2 linked regions of the Stegostoma tigrinum genome follow. The protein of the gene in region 1 interacts with the protein of each later gene in a pairwise test. Links are inferred from orthologs where the notes say so. Each region holds a gene or a part of one and is shown on either strand. Other genes may lie near its edges. The genes, in order: tnnt1 and nfe2l2a.

Evidence for each region.
Region 2: the proteins of tnnt1 (region 1) and nfe2l2a interact in binary tests that used the Homo sapiens proteins (3 or more experiments, as listed by UniProt). The two-hybrid records come from large-scale screens. The link is inferred for Stegostoma tigrinum from reciprocal best matches to the Homo sapiens genes TNNT1 and NFE2L2.

What each region holds. Positions count from the first base shown.
Region 1 is NC_081391.1:18,771,113-18,779,304, forward strand, and holds the start of tnnt1 (troponin T, slow skeletal muscle), read right to left. Parts: upstream 3,360-8,192; 5' UTR 3,248-3,359; intron 1-3,247. UniProt on the Homo sapiens protein: Troponin T is the tropomyosin-binding subunit of troponin, the thin filament regulatory complex which confers calcium-sensitivity to striated muscle actomyosin ATPase activity.
Region 2 is NC_081360.1:45,395,373-45,403,412, reverse strand, and holds the start of nfe2l2a (nuclear factor erythroid 2-related factor 2a), read right to left. Parts: upstream 3,381-8,040; 5' UTR 3,298-3,380; coding exon 3,265-3,297; intron 1-3,264.

The sequences.
Region 1 (8,192 bases):
CAAACTGTGACCACATACCAGCACTAGTTGCTCTTTTAGAACCATTGCCAGATTCTGCAGCAGATGGAACATAATGCGGGAAAATGCAATATTCCCCACTTTGGCAGGAAGAACAGGAATTCAAAATATTATTTAAAAGGACAGAAACTGTAGAATGCTGCAACATATATAAAGGGGATCGGGGTAACCTTGTACATAAACGATTCCAGTCTTTGCCATTCCCCACCTTACGGGGAATGAGCTCAGAGTTGGGTAGGTGACAGGCTGGGCACCTGCTGTATTTTACATGGCCCTCACTCCCTAAATGTGGAAGAGGTGCGTAATACCCAGCCAATTATTTTACTCGGTGACATTGACAAGTCAGTAACCCGTGCAACAAGAACAGCACACACAGAAGTTTATAAAAATTCTGCATTCATAGGAGGAAAGGAATGGGCGGAGGTCTCTCAGCCCCTGGAGACTGTTCCCTAATTCAAATAGGTCATCTCTAATTTCATTTTATTTACTCACTGCTGCTGTGTGACCTGCAATGTCATCGGCCAATGAAAATCCATCAATGTCAGTTTTGAAATTTCAGTTGACACTTTAGCCTCAAACTCCCACTAACCTAAGCACACGGTATTGTTCCCTTATCAGCCTGGGTCTCGTTTTAACGTCACGCCCCCTTGTTCCCTATCGGATGAAATAGTTCCTCTCTCTCTCCATCTCACAATATCCTTCAGTAATCTTGAACACCTTAATTATATCACCTCTTAGTCATCTAGACTAGAAGGGTCTAGGCCCGAAACGTCAGCTTTTGTGCTCCTAAGATGCTGCTTGGCCTGCTGTGTTCATTCAGCTCCACACTTTGTTATCTCGAAGGAATACAACCTTGGTCTGTGCAGCTGTGCAACATTTATGTGCCTGGAATAGCAAACTGTAGGGGATTAGTCGATAACAGATAATGAATCCACAATATTTGAGGAGCAAATTACTGCAGATGCTGGAGCGTGTACTGCAAATAACAAATTCTGGAGATCACAGCGGGTCAGGCAGCATTCTTAGAGAGGGAGCAAGCTAACATTTCGAGCTTAGATGACTCTTCATCAGAGCTAGCGTGAAGTGTTGGTGGGGTGCAGCATTTATGCAATAGATGGGGGAGGGTGGGGTTGGAGTGCTGAGGGCAGCAAGAATGTTTGTTGTTCAGATTAAGTGACCAGAATGTGAGAATGGCAGAACAGTGGTGTGCATAAAGATATCTATTATGTTTGAAAAACAGACAGTCCCTTCGGAAGTGGGGGGCAGGGGAGAGAAGACACTTTCACAGAGAATGTAACAGGTAAAGCTAAAAGGAAGGGAAGGAATGGGAATTGGTTCACCATTTGAAGGTGTTGAACTCGATATTAAGTCCAGAAGGCTGTCAAGTGCCTAGTCTGAAGATGAGATGTTGTTTCACCAGTTTACGCTGCGATTCATTGGAGCCCTATAGAGTGCCGAAGACAAGACTCAGAACTTCACTGACAAAGCTGCAGTGCTCCCAAAGCTTGTGATTTCAAATAAGCCTGTTGGATTATAACCTGGCGTTGTGTGACTTGTTAAAATATTTTTCAAACAAGAAACAAAATTCAAACTTTCTAATAATTTTAAGCATGTACTTCTATCGTGGAAGCAGTTTATTCACACCAGTTAAAATAAGGTAGAAATAGAATGGAAATTTTACATTTTCTGAAGCATAAAACAGATTTCCCATATGGTTTCAACTCTGAGTTTAATGACAGTCACAGAAGCAGATAATTCACGATATGTAAATTCCCTGCTTTCAAAGCTCCACATGACCTCGCCCCTCCCTTCCTCCCTAGCCCGCTGACAGAACCCTGCAATTCCTTCAACTTTGGCCACTTTCACATCATCCACTTCCTCCAGCTCATGCTTGCCAGCCTCACCTTTGGTGATCACGGCACGAAGCTCTGGAATCCCCTCCCTCCTTACCCAGACCCTCCACCTGCTTCCCTTCCTCCAAGATATTTTCTGAAAGCTGATGTCTTTGATCAACGTTTGGCCAGTTTGTCCTACCAGCTCCTTCTTTGGATTGATCCCCATCTTTGTCTGATTACATTCTTGTAAATCACCTTGAGACCCTGAGGGGCTATATCAATGCAACTTGTTGCAGCTGTTGTTGGCTTTGCAACCACCTACAATCACACTTTTGCAGTCGTGTTCCTTCCAACCGTCTTGTGTTTCCAGATCCGTTGTCACAGTTATCATCTCAGATAATCTCAACAACACATTGTGGAAGACGGGGAGTGGTATCAAATATTAGCATACTTTGGAATAAGTCGCCAACCGGAACATTATTTCAAAACTAACGACTACAATCCCAAATGGGAAAACACAGATACATAATTAGGGTGCATGCTAGATTGTAAACTGATGCAAAAATTGACCCTAGTAATAGCTTTATTTTCAAGTGGATTATGAATATTATTTCTGGTACTGCCCCTTCCTGTATTGCAAATAACTTTTCTTCTTCATTAACCTGCTCTCCTGTTCCCATTAGCTTCTGCTAGGAGACCTCTGATGCCTCACCTGAGTTGCTGTTCTTTATGAATGAACTCAGACAGCGAGTTTCAGTTGAATATAGAGCCATCACAGTGCAGCTCTATTGTCACTCAACATTGGCGTGCCCCTAGCTTCTGAAGGTGAAGAAACCTGATGCAATCAGAAGTGTGTGACCTTTCTTGATTTTTTTTTCTCTCGCTAAGTAGGTGCTGAGCTTTTTTGCAGCGTCAGAACTGGTTCCCATGGTTGAAACCAAGCAACTCAGCTATACTGAGAACGGCTGAGCTATACATTGTCCTTACGAAGCGATCAGAATCGCTGACCAAAAACTACAGTGATCGCAATCAGCAAAGAATCGAGCTCCTCTGATGATCAACGCTGTGCAGCAAAACTCTGTCACCATGATCAATTTTTACTCAATGCACTTTAAAATAAAAGGAGTTCACATGATTAAATTAATTTGAGGCCTTTTGAATCATCAAACACAATCCACAATCAAGATAATCCCTGATATGGACAGCCTTGCTATCAATGAGAAATGTTTCAGTACCGAATCATTGGATCCAGGATCCAACATCACTGGGTTCTACTCCTTGGTTCCCAAACGGAAGCCACAAGAAAGGAAGGAAAATTGGAAAGAAGTACCTTTATCCTTTAACTATAGGAGCCAGATTGAGCTAGCTCTACTAAACAAACAGCTTTGCCTTACCTGAAAAAGGCTGTTGGAGAAAGGAATAAAGGGAGAGAGAGAGATGGATGTGAATGCCTCCTGTGTCTGTTAAAGAGTGAAGACAGGGCAGGAATTACAGGACAGACTAGCCTGGGAAATCTGACACTCCGTCTTTATTTGGCTGGTCTCTGTGCAAAGGAGAACAAAGAGGAAATTTGGTGTGTTCCTTTAAATAGACTTACATGTTAAAGAAGAATAAATGATACTGGATGGAGACAGAGGCTGATAACATGGAGAAAGTCTTGATAATGTACAGGATCAGCAGAAGGCAAATAAAAAATCCATCGAATGTGGAATTTTTTTTATTGGTTAGGTCACTTTTGGAATAGGGCTTTCAGTTCTGTTCTTCCTGCTACAGAAAAGATGTTGTGAAACTTGAAAGGGTTCAGAAAAGATTCACAATGATGTTGCCATGGTAGGAGGGTTTGAGGTATAGCGAGAGGTTGTTTTCCCTGGAGCATCGGAGGATGAGACGTGTCCTTATAGAAGTTTATAAAATCATGAGGGGCATGGATAGAGTGAATAGTCAAGGTCTTTTCCCCAGGGTAGGGGAGTCCAAAACTCGATGACATAGGTTTAAGGTGACCGGGAAATATTTAGAACGGACCTGAGGGGCAATATTTTCATGCAGAGGGAGGTAGGTATATGGATCGAGCTGCCAGAGGAGGTGGTGGAGGCTGGTACAATGACAACATTTAAAAGGAACCAGGATGGGTACATGAGGGATATGGGCCAAATGCTGCCAAATGGGACCAGATTTGTTTAGGATATCTGGTTGGCATGGATGGGTTGGACCGAAAGGTCTGTTTCCATGCTGTACATCTCTATGACTCTATTGCTTCAAAATATCATACTTGTGGATGGCTTCACAAGATGCTTGGACAAAGTGAGGGTTCAGCCTTGTCTGAAAGAGGGTGGGGCATTGTAAGGGAGGTGTGGAAGGAGTTCTATAGATATTCTGTTTCCATTAGTTGGTATGTTAATAACTAGGGGTCACAATTTCAAGATTGTCAGCATGAGGGCTCCGAGTGAGATGAGGGAAATCTTCTTTACTCAAAGAGTTCTTGGTATTTGCAATGTGCGGCCTGGGAGAGTGGTGGAGGTGGTTTCCGTGGAAGATTTCAAAAGAGAGCTGGAAATATATTTGAAAGGGATGATGTTAGAGGGCTACGGAGATAGGGCTGGAGAGTGGGATTAGCTGGGAGGGTCTTTTGGAAGCTGGTACAGACACAATGGGCCAAATGGCTTCTTCTGTACCATAAAATCTAATGATCCTGTAAGTATTTTCTGTACAATGAGACAAGGAGTAATGGGATCTGTACAAAGTAGGGCTCAAGGCGGGTGTCCTGAGACAAAAACAGAAATTGCCAGAAAAGCTCAGCAGGCCTGGCAATGTCTGGAGAGAAATCAGTTAACTTTTTGGGTCACGTGGCCCTTCCTCAGAAGGTATCCGTACAAACAAGAGGAAGCGGGATAGCAAATGGAAGTAGAGAGAGACAGCTAGTATTTGTACTGGGAGACAAAGAGGGGAGCAGCTGAACGGGTAAAGGAGGTGAATCTTCATTTATGTTTGAGGGAAAAGAGAGGACTGTGCATCTCTACGTGCTGTTTAGCAGCTGGTATGCATCTGTGGAAATATCTGAGGACAGGAGAAGACAGAGGGCCGAGATCATTCCACTTTCCTGTTAGCCTATTGAACCCAAGAACAAAGTGTTCAAACTGGAGAGGTGTGAAGCAACCACAAAATTCTCATTGGTGATATTATCATAGACAGAAGTCACACACCACGTTCACCTGATGAAGGAGCAATGCTCCAAAAGCTTGTGATTTCAAATAAACCTGTTGGGTTATAATGTGGTGTCATGTGACATCCGACTTTGGGCACCCCAGTCCATCACTAGCACCTCCACATCATGATAAAATCATGGAATCGCATCACGTAGTAGAGATGTGCATCAATTCTTTTAATGGAAACATGACCACATTTAGATTAGATTAGATTAGCACTTCCATTGAAATAGCTGCCATACAATCACAAAAAGTGATTTTATGCTTTTATCCCGACCCAAATTATCCCACATTTCTTCAATTTGATCACACAGCTAATTCCACTTTGGTTTCTGAAGTCTTCTGTCAGCTGTTCCAATGTTTTTCCACCTGCCTCTTCCATCCTGCGGTCCCATCATGTACATCTTAAGATGTCCTGTTTTTCAGAATAACATCATTCTCTTTTCCATTGCTTGACCCCAAGCTGCAACCGTAACGGTTCAAATGCCTGCCCATTTATCTATGGTAAACACAGAAAGTATTTTCCTGATAACTGGGGAGTCCAGAAGCAGGGATCGTGCAGTAAAGAAATGGGATAGGCTATTTAGGACTGAGATGAAGTGAAATGTCTTCACTCAGACAGCAGTGACCCTGACAAATTCGTTGCCATAGAAAAATTTGGAGGACTAAACATAGGATGTTTTCCAGAAGGAGTTGGATACAGTACTTAGGGCTGAAGGGATAAAGCAGGAGGTGATGACCTAGTGGTATTGTGGCTGGACTATTAATCCAGAGACACAGGTAACTGTCATGGGGTCCCATGTTCAAATCCTGCCATAGCAGATGGTGGAATTTGGATTCAATTGTAAAAAAAAACTGATGGCAACCATTACACTGTTGTTGATGATTGGAAAACCCCATCTGGTTCATTGATCCGAGATAATGGGAACTGCAGATGCTGGAGATTCCAAGATAATAAAATGTGAGGCTGGATGAACACAGCAGGCCAAGCAGCATCTCAGGAGCACAAAAGCTGACGTTTCGGGCCTAGACCCTTCATCAGAGAGGGGGATGGGGGGAGGGAACTGGAATAAATAGGGAGAGAGGGGGAGGCGGACCGAAGATGGAGAGTACAAGAGAGTTGCAATGGGAGAGAGATTCCCTGAGGTTGGTCCGGAGGGAGGAGGGTAACTTCTTCAGGTTAGGCATCCCTGGAAGAGGCTTCGCAGTGAAGTTAAAATAGTATCAGAGATAATGGGAACTGCAGATGCTGGAGATTCCAAGATAATAAAATGTGAGGCTGGATGAACACAGCAGGCCAAGCAGCATCTCAGGAGCACAAAAGCTGACGTTTCGGGCCTAGACCCTTCATCAGAGAGGGGGATGGGGGGAGGGAACTGGAATAAATAGGGAGAGAGGGGGAGGCGGACCGAAGATGGAGTGTACAAGAGAGTTGCAATGGGAGAGAGATTCCCTGAGGTTGGTCCGGAGGGAGGAGGGTAACTTCTTCAGGTTAGGCATCCCTGGAAGAGGCTTCGCAGTGAGGTTAAAATAGTATCAGAGATAATGGGAACTGCAGATGCTGGAGATTCCAAGATAATAAAATGTGAGGCTGGATGAACACAGCAGGCCAAGCAGCATCTCAGGAGCACAAAAGCTGACGTTTCGGGCCTAGACCCTTCATCAGAGAGGGGGATGGGGGGAGGGAACTGGAATAAATAGGGAGAGAGGGGGAGGCGGACCGAAGATGGAGAGTACAAGAGAGTTGCAATGGGAGAGAGATTCCCTGAGGTTGGTCCGGAGGGAGGAGGGTAACTTCTTCAGGTTAGGCATCCCTGGAAGAGGCTTCGCAGTGAGGTTAAAATAGTATCAGAGATAATGGGAACTGCAGATGCTGGAGATTCCAAGATAACAAAATGTGAGGCTGGATGAACACAGCAGGCCAAGCAGCATCTCAGGAGCACAAGATAATAAAATGTGAGGCTAACACAGCCCTCCTCCCTCCGGACCAACCTCAGGGAATCTCTCTCCCATTGCAACTCTCTTGTACTCTCCATCTTCGGTCCGCCTCCCCCTCTCTCCCTATTTATTCCAGTTCCCTCCCCCCATCCCCCTCTCTGATGAAGGGTCTAGGCCCGAAACGTCAGCTTTTGTGCTCCTGAGATGCTGCTTGGCCTGCTGTGTTCATCCAGCCTCACGTTTTATTATCCTGGTTCATTGATCCGATGACTCGCGGCCTCAGTGCAGACATGATGCGGGGGGGGGGTCCTCTAATAGAGGGTTCTCTCTGGTGTAGTTGTCTCCTGGCCAAACATGGTGGCCTCCTGATGTGGCGTGGCAGACTCCCAGCATGGTGTGGCTGTCCCTTGGCCTGGCATGGCCTCATGATCTTGAGGTGATTCCACAGTGATCTACCAGCCTCATGAACCTTGAGGTGAAGCCCAGCACAGTCTGGAGCCAATGCCGGGTGTGTACAGCAGGCTAGGTGCAAACATGGTCGGGGTTGGAAGACCTTTGTTCTGAACTTTTATTTCTGCAATGCTGGACATTTTATTTCACTATCCTTCTAACATCTTGTAACTGAAGAAGCTGTACCTAGGTCCCTTTGTATCTAAAACGGTGCTGTAAGAGATGACTTGTAAACTTTTTTTTACTGAATTCATTTGAGTACACATGATAATGAAGCTAATTCTAATTCTAATTCTGATGCCCTTCCTTTAGAGAAGGAAATCTGCCATCCTGGTCTATGTGTGACTCTGGATACCCTCTGGGCAATTAGGTATGGGTTATAAATATTCACCTGGCCTGCAACATCCACATCCTATGAATGAATAAATAAAAGGCTGCAATTATATTGAATGATGGAACAGGCTCAAGGGCTGAAAAGCCTACTGCAGCTCCTATTTTCTATGGTTACCTCTTCCCACGCCACTCCCCTGTGTAAGACAGTGCTTTGTGCATACATCTGACGTAGATTTTTACAAAGTAATATTTTGTAAACTTGTAAACTTGCATACAATTCAATTTTGACTTGCAATGCAGATCAGTTTTTCTCAAAGCAGGATGTGACACATTGCACTCATTGCATTCACAATTACAGACTATATTTACACAATATATTTCATATCAAAGGTTTGCTTGTGCATACTGTCCAAGG
Region 2 (8,040 bases), on another chromosome or scaffold:
ACTATAGCCTAACTTGGCCTCATACTTATTATGAATTTGTTTATGTCTTAGTCACATCGGACAATTCCAGTGCTCCCTGGTCAACCTCCCATTTCCCACAAATGGAAGTTCAACCAAAAACTCTACACTTCATTTCAATCCAATGTACTCCAGGTTCATTTATCTATATTGGATCATGGTCCTGCACTGTTCAAATTTCAAGTAGTCCTTATGCTTACAAGTGTTCTGACTTGTCTCTTTCATAGTATTGTCAAGTCCTTCAACTTCCTAAATATAGCATTGTTCTCAGCTGGACCTCTTCTGTCTTGTCCCACCATTGGCAGTGTAAAATGGGAAGTGACCCATTAACTGTATTGTCATTATGTTCCAGTTCCCTTGTCAAACCTTTCCTTTCTCCTTTAAGAGATTTCTTAAAACCAGCTTTTTGACCAAACATTTATTCACCACTTCTAATGTCTCTTTTAGTTCAGTGCTCATCAGGTGGAGAGAACTCAAATAGTCAAGCCTGAAAATAAGAGGGTTAAGGTTTCAGCAGCAGATTGCCTGACTCAGTGGATCATCATAAGCAGGTGGCCTGTATGATGGAAAGTACATGAGATTGGAAATCCTCAGAGTCAAGTCGAACACCAAAGTGGCAAATTCTGATTCAGACAGAGATAGCTGTCGGGTAGCAGAATGAAATTGGTAGCTAGCTTCAAATGCTTTGTTCCTCCCAAATTTTATAATTGTGAGCATGTTAGACAAATAATCTGACAAAACAAAAAGATAGTGATTAAGTGGAGAGTGTTGGTGGCAAGGTAAAGCCAGGTTTCATGATACATTTGGAATACGTCTACAGCTGATGTCAGCAAACAGCATCTCCATGAAAAAAAGAGGGTGAGTTTCAAGGATAAATCCTTGGGAACTCCAGAATTCATAGATATGGGGACAGTCTTACGGTGCTGATCAAACCAGAAATTCATTTGCATCACCTTTCAGGCAGCTGCATCTAACATCCTCTGGGTAGTCCAAAAATGACATTGGCTTGTGGAGTCATGAAAAGGTATGCACAGGCTCATTCAGATGCAGATTCTTACTATCGTGGGAAAAAAATATAATGAGTGACGACGTATGTGCTTTTCTGATTGTGGCTTCTCAGCCAGGAAACGTTACTGCAATTTTGCAAGCTGATGGGCCCAAAACGTCAGCCGTCCTCCTCTGATTCTGCTCGGCCTGTGTTCATCCAGCTCCACACCTTGTTATCTCTTAACACAAAATTAAGGAACACCAATAGATATTTTCAATCCACGAGTAACAAATACAAATGGGTAATCAAGTCAACAGATCGAGATTTACCTCCATCCTTCTCTCCATTTCAAAGTAAACTTGCTATTGGCTATTGATTACCTACCTTAACAACTGGGCTGCAGCCATGAAGTGTAGTTACATAGCTAGTAGCCAGCATGACCAAAATAAAACTAGTGCACCGTACAAATCCATCCAAAGTGGACTTTTGCACACTTGAAGCAACACTTATTTCACAAACCTCTTGGTTTCTTTAAGACATGACTTGAAATGTACATCTTTGAGCAGGCTATCGGTCAAATGACCGAATAACTCATGGTTTAATTTTGTTTGATAACACTCCCATCAATCACCCAGAGATATTTTACCTGGCGTGACACAACACACTGAAGAGTGCTGTAGAAATGCTGACTGTCAGTGATTGACAGGCAAAGGAATTTTTGACTCACCTAGGCATATTATACAGTTTTTTTTAAAAGAAAAAAGTAAACAGTTCTTTTTCATAATATTCTTAGTGCCCAGAGTACGGCATTGGATCAAAACAACAGCCAATTAGAAAGGAAGGAAATGAAATGTTTGAACATGTAAATTAGCAGTTAAAGTAATTAAACAATGCCTACACTAAAGACAACTAGATTGAGTAAAAACTTAGCAAAGGTACCTAGACAACAACTTCATACAGCTGTGAACCTTCCCAATAATAAAATAACAAGGGTTGCAAATTTCAGTGATGGAGCAATAGACAAAAGTAGAATAATTCCTTGGCAGGCCTCCATTGTTCTTTAAAAACTTTTTTTTGAAAAATTGTTATCTCCATTTTCATCCTTTACTTTGTACAATACACAGCCAAGAAGTTGACTAATTAATTTGATCCGAACTCTGTAGATCCAGCCGGAACAAAACGGGTGGAACGGCTTCTTGTACTGCAACCATTACGAGATTCCATCTGTGGCTAATGACCTTCACCGTACAGTAAGTATTTCACATCATCACGCAAATCAGTCAAGGCATCGATATCAATCATTTACTACCAGAAAAAAAATGCTGTCCTACAATCGCTGCACTCGTACTAAAGGTCAGGAATCTAGCCAAACGCGAATGCAACTCACGTGACACAACACACCGAATTGAAATGTTAGGACAAATAAAGGAGGAACAAGCGGTTTGACAGGTTACGGAGAGGAAGGGAAAGAGTTTAAAGTTTAAAAGAAGACACTAGATTTTATTTTTAATCACTACGTTTACTGAGCGTTCGATAAACAGAACCAAACCCTTGTCAGACCAGCTTGTCTTTCACCTGCCATTCAGTTACTGTAAAGGCTTGTGGGTGGGAACAAGATCACACCCTGATATCAGCTGGAAACCTCAAGGGGTCAGACGACAACCAAGCTCGAAAGCTCTTCAGAAGAAAAAAAATCACAAGACTGGGAAACGCTGCACTGGCCCACGCAAAGTTACCATCATGGGGACCCGAACGATACAGACAAATGTCCTTGCGGCCAATCTTTTTCAGACACTTTTCAGGACAATAAAATGACTTGGCATTGTGCAATAAGTTTGGCGCAGATTCCGAAATAACGCTTTGGGCAAATGCCCAGGTCCCATCGTTGCGCTTCATATCGTCAGAGGCTTCGAAAATATGTCGTAGGAGTAGATGGGTGAGGAAGTCCAATCCAAAAAGATGATGAAAATTGATGAGGGGAAGGAGGAGAGACAAATGACCGCGATCTTAAAACTAGCCACCCAATTTACTTTATTCACGAGAACCTGTACATTTTCACGTAAACGATCCACCGCCACATTGAAAACCTTCGCGTAACACGGTCAGAGCAAACTATCTTTAAAGTTTAACTAGCTTGCCTCCCTTTGCTACATGTTTTCCCCCGGGCCGCCTCCGGTCAATTTGCTCCGCAACGTTTCCCTGCTGTCTATACTGAAGCTGTCGCTGAGAGATTACTAGACACCGACTGGCATCTGTACCTGCTGCTGCGCCACTGACCGCTCGATCTCCATCGTCGCTACCTATCACCCCCTTCGATCACGCGCAACCGGCCTGACTCTTCCAGCTCTTATGACGCACGCTGGCCAGAGCTCCGCGAGACTCAGCCCTAGCCCTGCCCACCGCCGCCCGGACCACTCAACAGGCCGCGTCTCTCCGTCAATCACGCTTCACGTCCCGCCCCCACCATTGCGATTCGCTCCCACCCTGTCGATCATCAGGCCGTTCCTCCACCCAGCCGTCATCGTCAGTCCGGTCTTCCGAACCGAACACTTTGTGCCAGGTATAATTTGATTGTATGAAAAGGAGCGGTACAGACCCGCACGTTGAGTGCAAAATATTGCACAAATGGTAATGTCTGGCTTTTTGATTGATTTCAAATCTAAAGAGATCATTCATAACCCCAGGATCAGCAACGCCGTATAATTAAGAGTATAGTTTGTTTTATTGTAATAGGAGCATATCCTCTCCGTATAGGTCTATGTATTTACATGTATTAAAAAATACAGGGTATTGTGGACATAAAGGATGAAAATGGTATATTAACACTTAAAATTCGAAATGACCGTGAACAAGATCAGCTTTCATAATATGGCTTAAATCCCTCCCCCAGGAAGTTTGATACTTACAGTACTTATAGCAAAACCATTGGATATAAGCATTTTAAAAAATAAGTTTAGAAATGGTCACGTATTTAATCGAAATACGAATAGAAAATATATATAGTTTTAAAAGGCTATATCTAGGAAAAAACAAAATCAACAAATAAAACCACTTCATTCAATCAGGTTTAAAGAGACATTCAATTCAGTATAGATGTACAATAGTTAAAATTTGAAGCTGACATCGATGTTTATCCAAAGAGCTTTTTTCATAAGCACTCACACGAAATACAATCCATCGCATAATGTCTGGCCCGCCTCCGCAGTCGGTCTCAGAACCTTCCTGAGGAACTGGAAAACATTCTCGGCAAAAAGTCCCCTTTTAAATGACGTCCCTGAAATTGCGCAATGGTGCTGCCTCCACGGTAGGGCAGCAGGGCCGCATATGAAGCAATGTTGCGATAAATGGCAATTTTTAAAAATGTTATTTCATAACGTTTTTAGGATTGTGTTTTGCATTTTAAATCCTCATATGCAGGCTGTGCCGAAGGTAAAACGGACAGTTTTACGAAGTTTTACCTACCTACCTGCTCCGAAGTGAAAACATGTTAAACATCAAAGCTGATCAATAAAGATAGAAATACTATTGATTAAAATCGGTATGGCAAGGAATAGGCAATAAATGACAGCAACACTCACATCCCATGAATGAATTTAAGACACAGACAGTTTGTGATCAGCATACCCTCACAATTGCTTTCTAAATTAAATTTAAATCTTTATATTCCCAGACTGTCTATAAATGAATACCTGTATATAATTTTGTTGCAGCATTCAATGAAGACAAAAACTTCAGTATGTTTATATATAAAATTTCGTAGTTATTTAGTTGCACATCCAGAACAATTAAAGTAGAAATACTGTATTTTTCCCACTTCTGTACCTTTTGAGGAAGTGAAATTATTGGATTTCAAAATTAAAACCATAGAATACAGGAAATTCGCAGAAAATTTCAAACGAGAAAATATTATTTTACCCGACGGATCTACGTACATTTTCCAACTTTATTGTGTATTTCAAACATTCAATTTTCCTTAATGCTACTTTGGATTTCATTCGGTTCGGACATTTGGCATTGGGGAGAGTAGCTTGGCATTCTGACAACACCCTAGACATAAGTATAAAGGATGGAGGACCATATAGTCAACACTATTGGACAGCACAAAGTCATAAAGAACCGAAACAGACCCTTTGTGCCAACTCATCCATGCTGTCTACGTTTCCCAAATTTAAAAAAAAAGTCTCATTTGCCTGCATTTGGCCCACAAACCTCCAAACATTTCCTATTCATGAGCCTGTACATGTTAAATGTTGCAAATTAGTAATAACTTTCCTAAGCAGGGCAACCAGAACTGTACAGAGCACTCCAAGAGTGGCCTAACTAATATCCTGTTCAACCTCAACATAACATCCCAACTCCTATACATAATGGTCTGTGCAATGAAGATAGGCTTGCTAAATGCCTTTTTTAACACCTTAGGTTTCCTTATCATCTGACATAAAACTGTTTCAGCCATGGATTATTGATTAGATCACAGTTACATTCGTATGATCATCTGTACATGTAGCATGTATATAAATTGCCAACCACACGCTGAAGATTTGGGATCCGTCAATGCTTTCAATTTAATATTCATCTGTAAATCCCTTTTATGTACTCTTCCAATGCTCCAGCACTCTCTCGTCCTCTGACAATGGCTTCTTGAACACCCTCCATCAATTTAGCAGGCTGGCAGTGAGGGAAATTGATTCAGGGAAACTATTGATAAATTAATAAAAGTTTGTGACATTGGATCCTCAATTTTCTGGATGATACACACTTTTGTGGAGGGTCCAGGATGTAGGCAAAGTCTCTAAAAGTACCAAATTTATAATGTTCAAATATCTGAGTGATGAAATAAGTTCCAATTTAGACTGCAAAAAGGTTTATACGGTATTTGCTCCATTTCCATCACAGAAAATGACTGCAGATTGATTTAGTTTTGAAGTAACAGTTACAGATATAATTTCAAAGATTTCACAGTGAAAATTACTGTTCAAGAATGACTTCATAAAATGTATCACACTCAGAATTATTTAACACAAATTGAAGAACATAAAACATTAGAAAAGTTGAAAACAGGTTTAAATAAAAACGAAACTCAGTATTCACCAATGTAGCATGAGGTGATTTATTTCAGTAGGAACATTTATAGAATATCTATAGGAAGGAAAATAAAAGTCATTTGGCCCATTGTGTCTGTGCCAGTCAAAAATCGAACAGCCTGCTGTTATCTCACTTTGCCGCATTTAGTTCATAGCTCTTCAGCTCCAGTGCTCATAATGGTTATCCCAGACATCTTTTGAAATTAGTCCAGAGCTTCTATCTCTACTACTATTTCAGGCAGTCTCCGTCCTGTGAATGAAAAAATATATTCCTAATCTGCTTTCTGATCTTTCCACCAATCACTTCAACCCTGTGCCCCCTCATTACTGACAGCTCTGCTGAGGTAAATAAGTCCTTTCCGTAAGTCCTTATTCAGGTCCCTGACAATTTTGTACACCTCAATTAAATCTCCCTTCAGCTTCCTCTATTGCAAGGAGAACAACTTCAGCCTATGTAATCTTTCCTTATAACTAACGTTTTCAGTCCTGGTAATATCCACACAAATCTCACTGAGTCATAGGCTCATAGAGATGTACAGCAGGGAAACAGGCACTTCGGTCCAACTCATCATGCCAACCAGATACCCTAAATTAATCTGGTTCCATTTGCCAGTATTTAGTCCATATCACTTTAAACCCTTCCTAATCAAGTACCCATCCAGATGCCTTTTAAATGTTGCAATTGTAGTAGCCTCCACCACTTCCTCTGGCTGCTTACTCCATATAAGCACCACTCTCTATGTGAAAAAGTTGCCCCTTAGATCCCTTTTAAATCTTTCCCCTCTCATCATAGACCTATGCCCCCTGGTTTTGAACTCCTCTACCCTAGGAAAAAGACCTTGTCTATTCACCCCATCCAGAATCGTTGTGATTTTATAAACTTCTATAAGGTCACCCCACAGCCTCCGATACTCGAGGGAAAATAGTAGTAGCCTATTCATACTCTCTCTATAGCTCAAGCCCTCTACTCTGGCAACATCCTTGTAAATCTTTTCCGAGCCCTTTCAAGTTTCACAACTTCCTTCCTAAAGCAGGGAGACCAGAATTGCATGCAGTATTCCAATAGTGGGCTAACCAATGTCCTGTACAGCTGCAACATGACCTCCTAACTTCTATATTCAGTGATAATGGGAACTGCAGATGCTGGAGAATCCAAGATAATAAAATGTGAGGCTGGATGAACACAACAGGCCCAGCAGCATCTCAGGAGCACAAAAGCTGACGTTTCGGGCCTAGACCCTTCATCAGAGAGCTTCTATACTCAATCAACTTACTAATAAAGGCAAACATACCAAATGCCTTCTTCACTATCCTAATAACTCTACTTTTGAGGAAATATGAACCTGCATTCCAAGGTCTCACTGTTCAGCAACACACCCCTGGGCCTTATCATTCAGTGTATAAGCTCTGCCCTGATTGGCCTTTCCAAAATGCAGCCCCTCACATTTATTTAAATTAAACTCTATCTGCCACTCCTCAGCCCATTGGCGCATTTGATCAAGATTCCGTTGTTTCCGTTAGGCGGGGAGACTAGGACCCGTGGGCACAGCCTTAAAATTAGAGGGGGTAAATTTAAAACTGAAATGAGACGACATTTCTTCAGCCAGAGAGTGGTGGGCTTGCGGAATTACTTGCCGCAGAGTGCAGTGGAGGCCGGGACATTGGATGCCTTCACGGCAGAGATCGACAAATTCTTGATCTCAAAGGAATCAAGGGCTACGGGGAGAGTGCAGGGAAGTGGTGTTGAAATGCCCATCAGCGATGATTTAAATGGCGGAGTGGACTTGATGGGCCGAATGGCCTTACTTCCACTCCTATGTCTTATGGTTCTTTGAGTAACCTTCTTCACTGCCCACTACTCCACCAATTTTGGTTTCATCTGCAAACTTACTAACCATGCCTCCTATGTTCACATTAAAAATAATTTATATAAATGACAAAAAAGCAGTG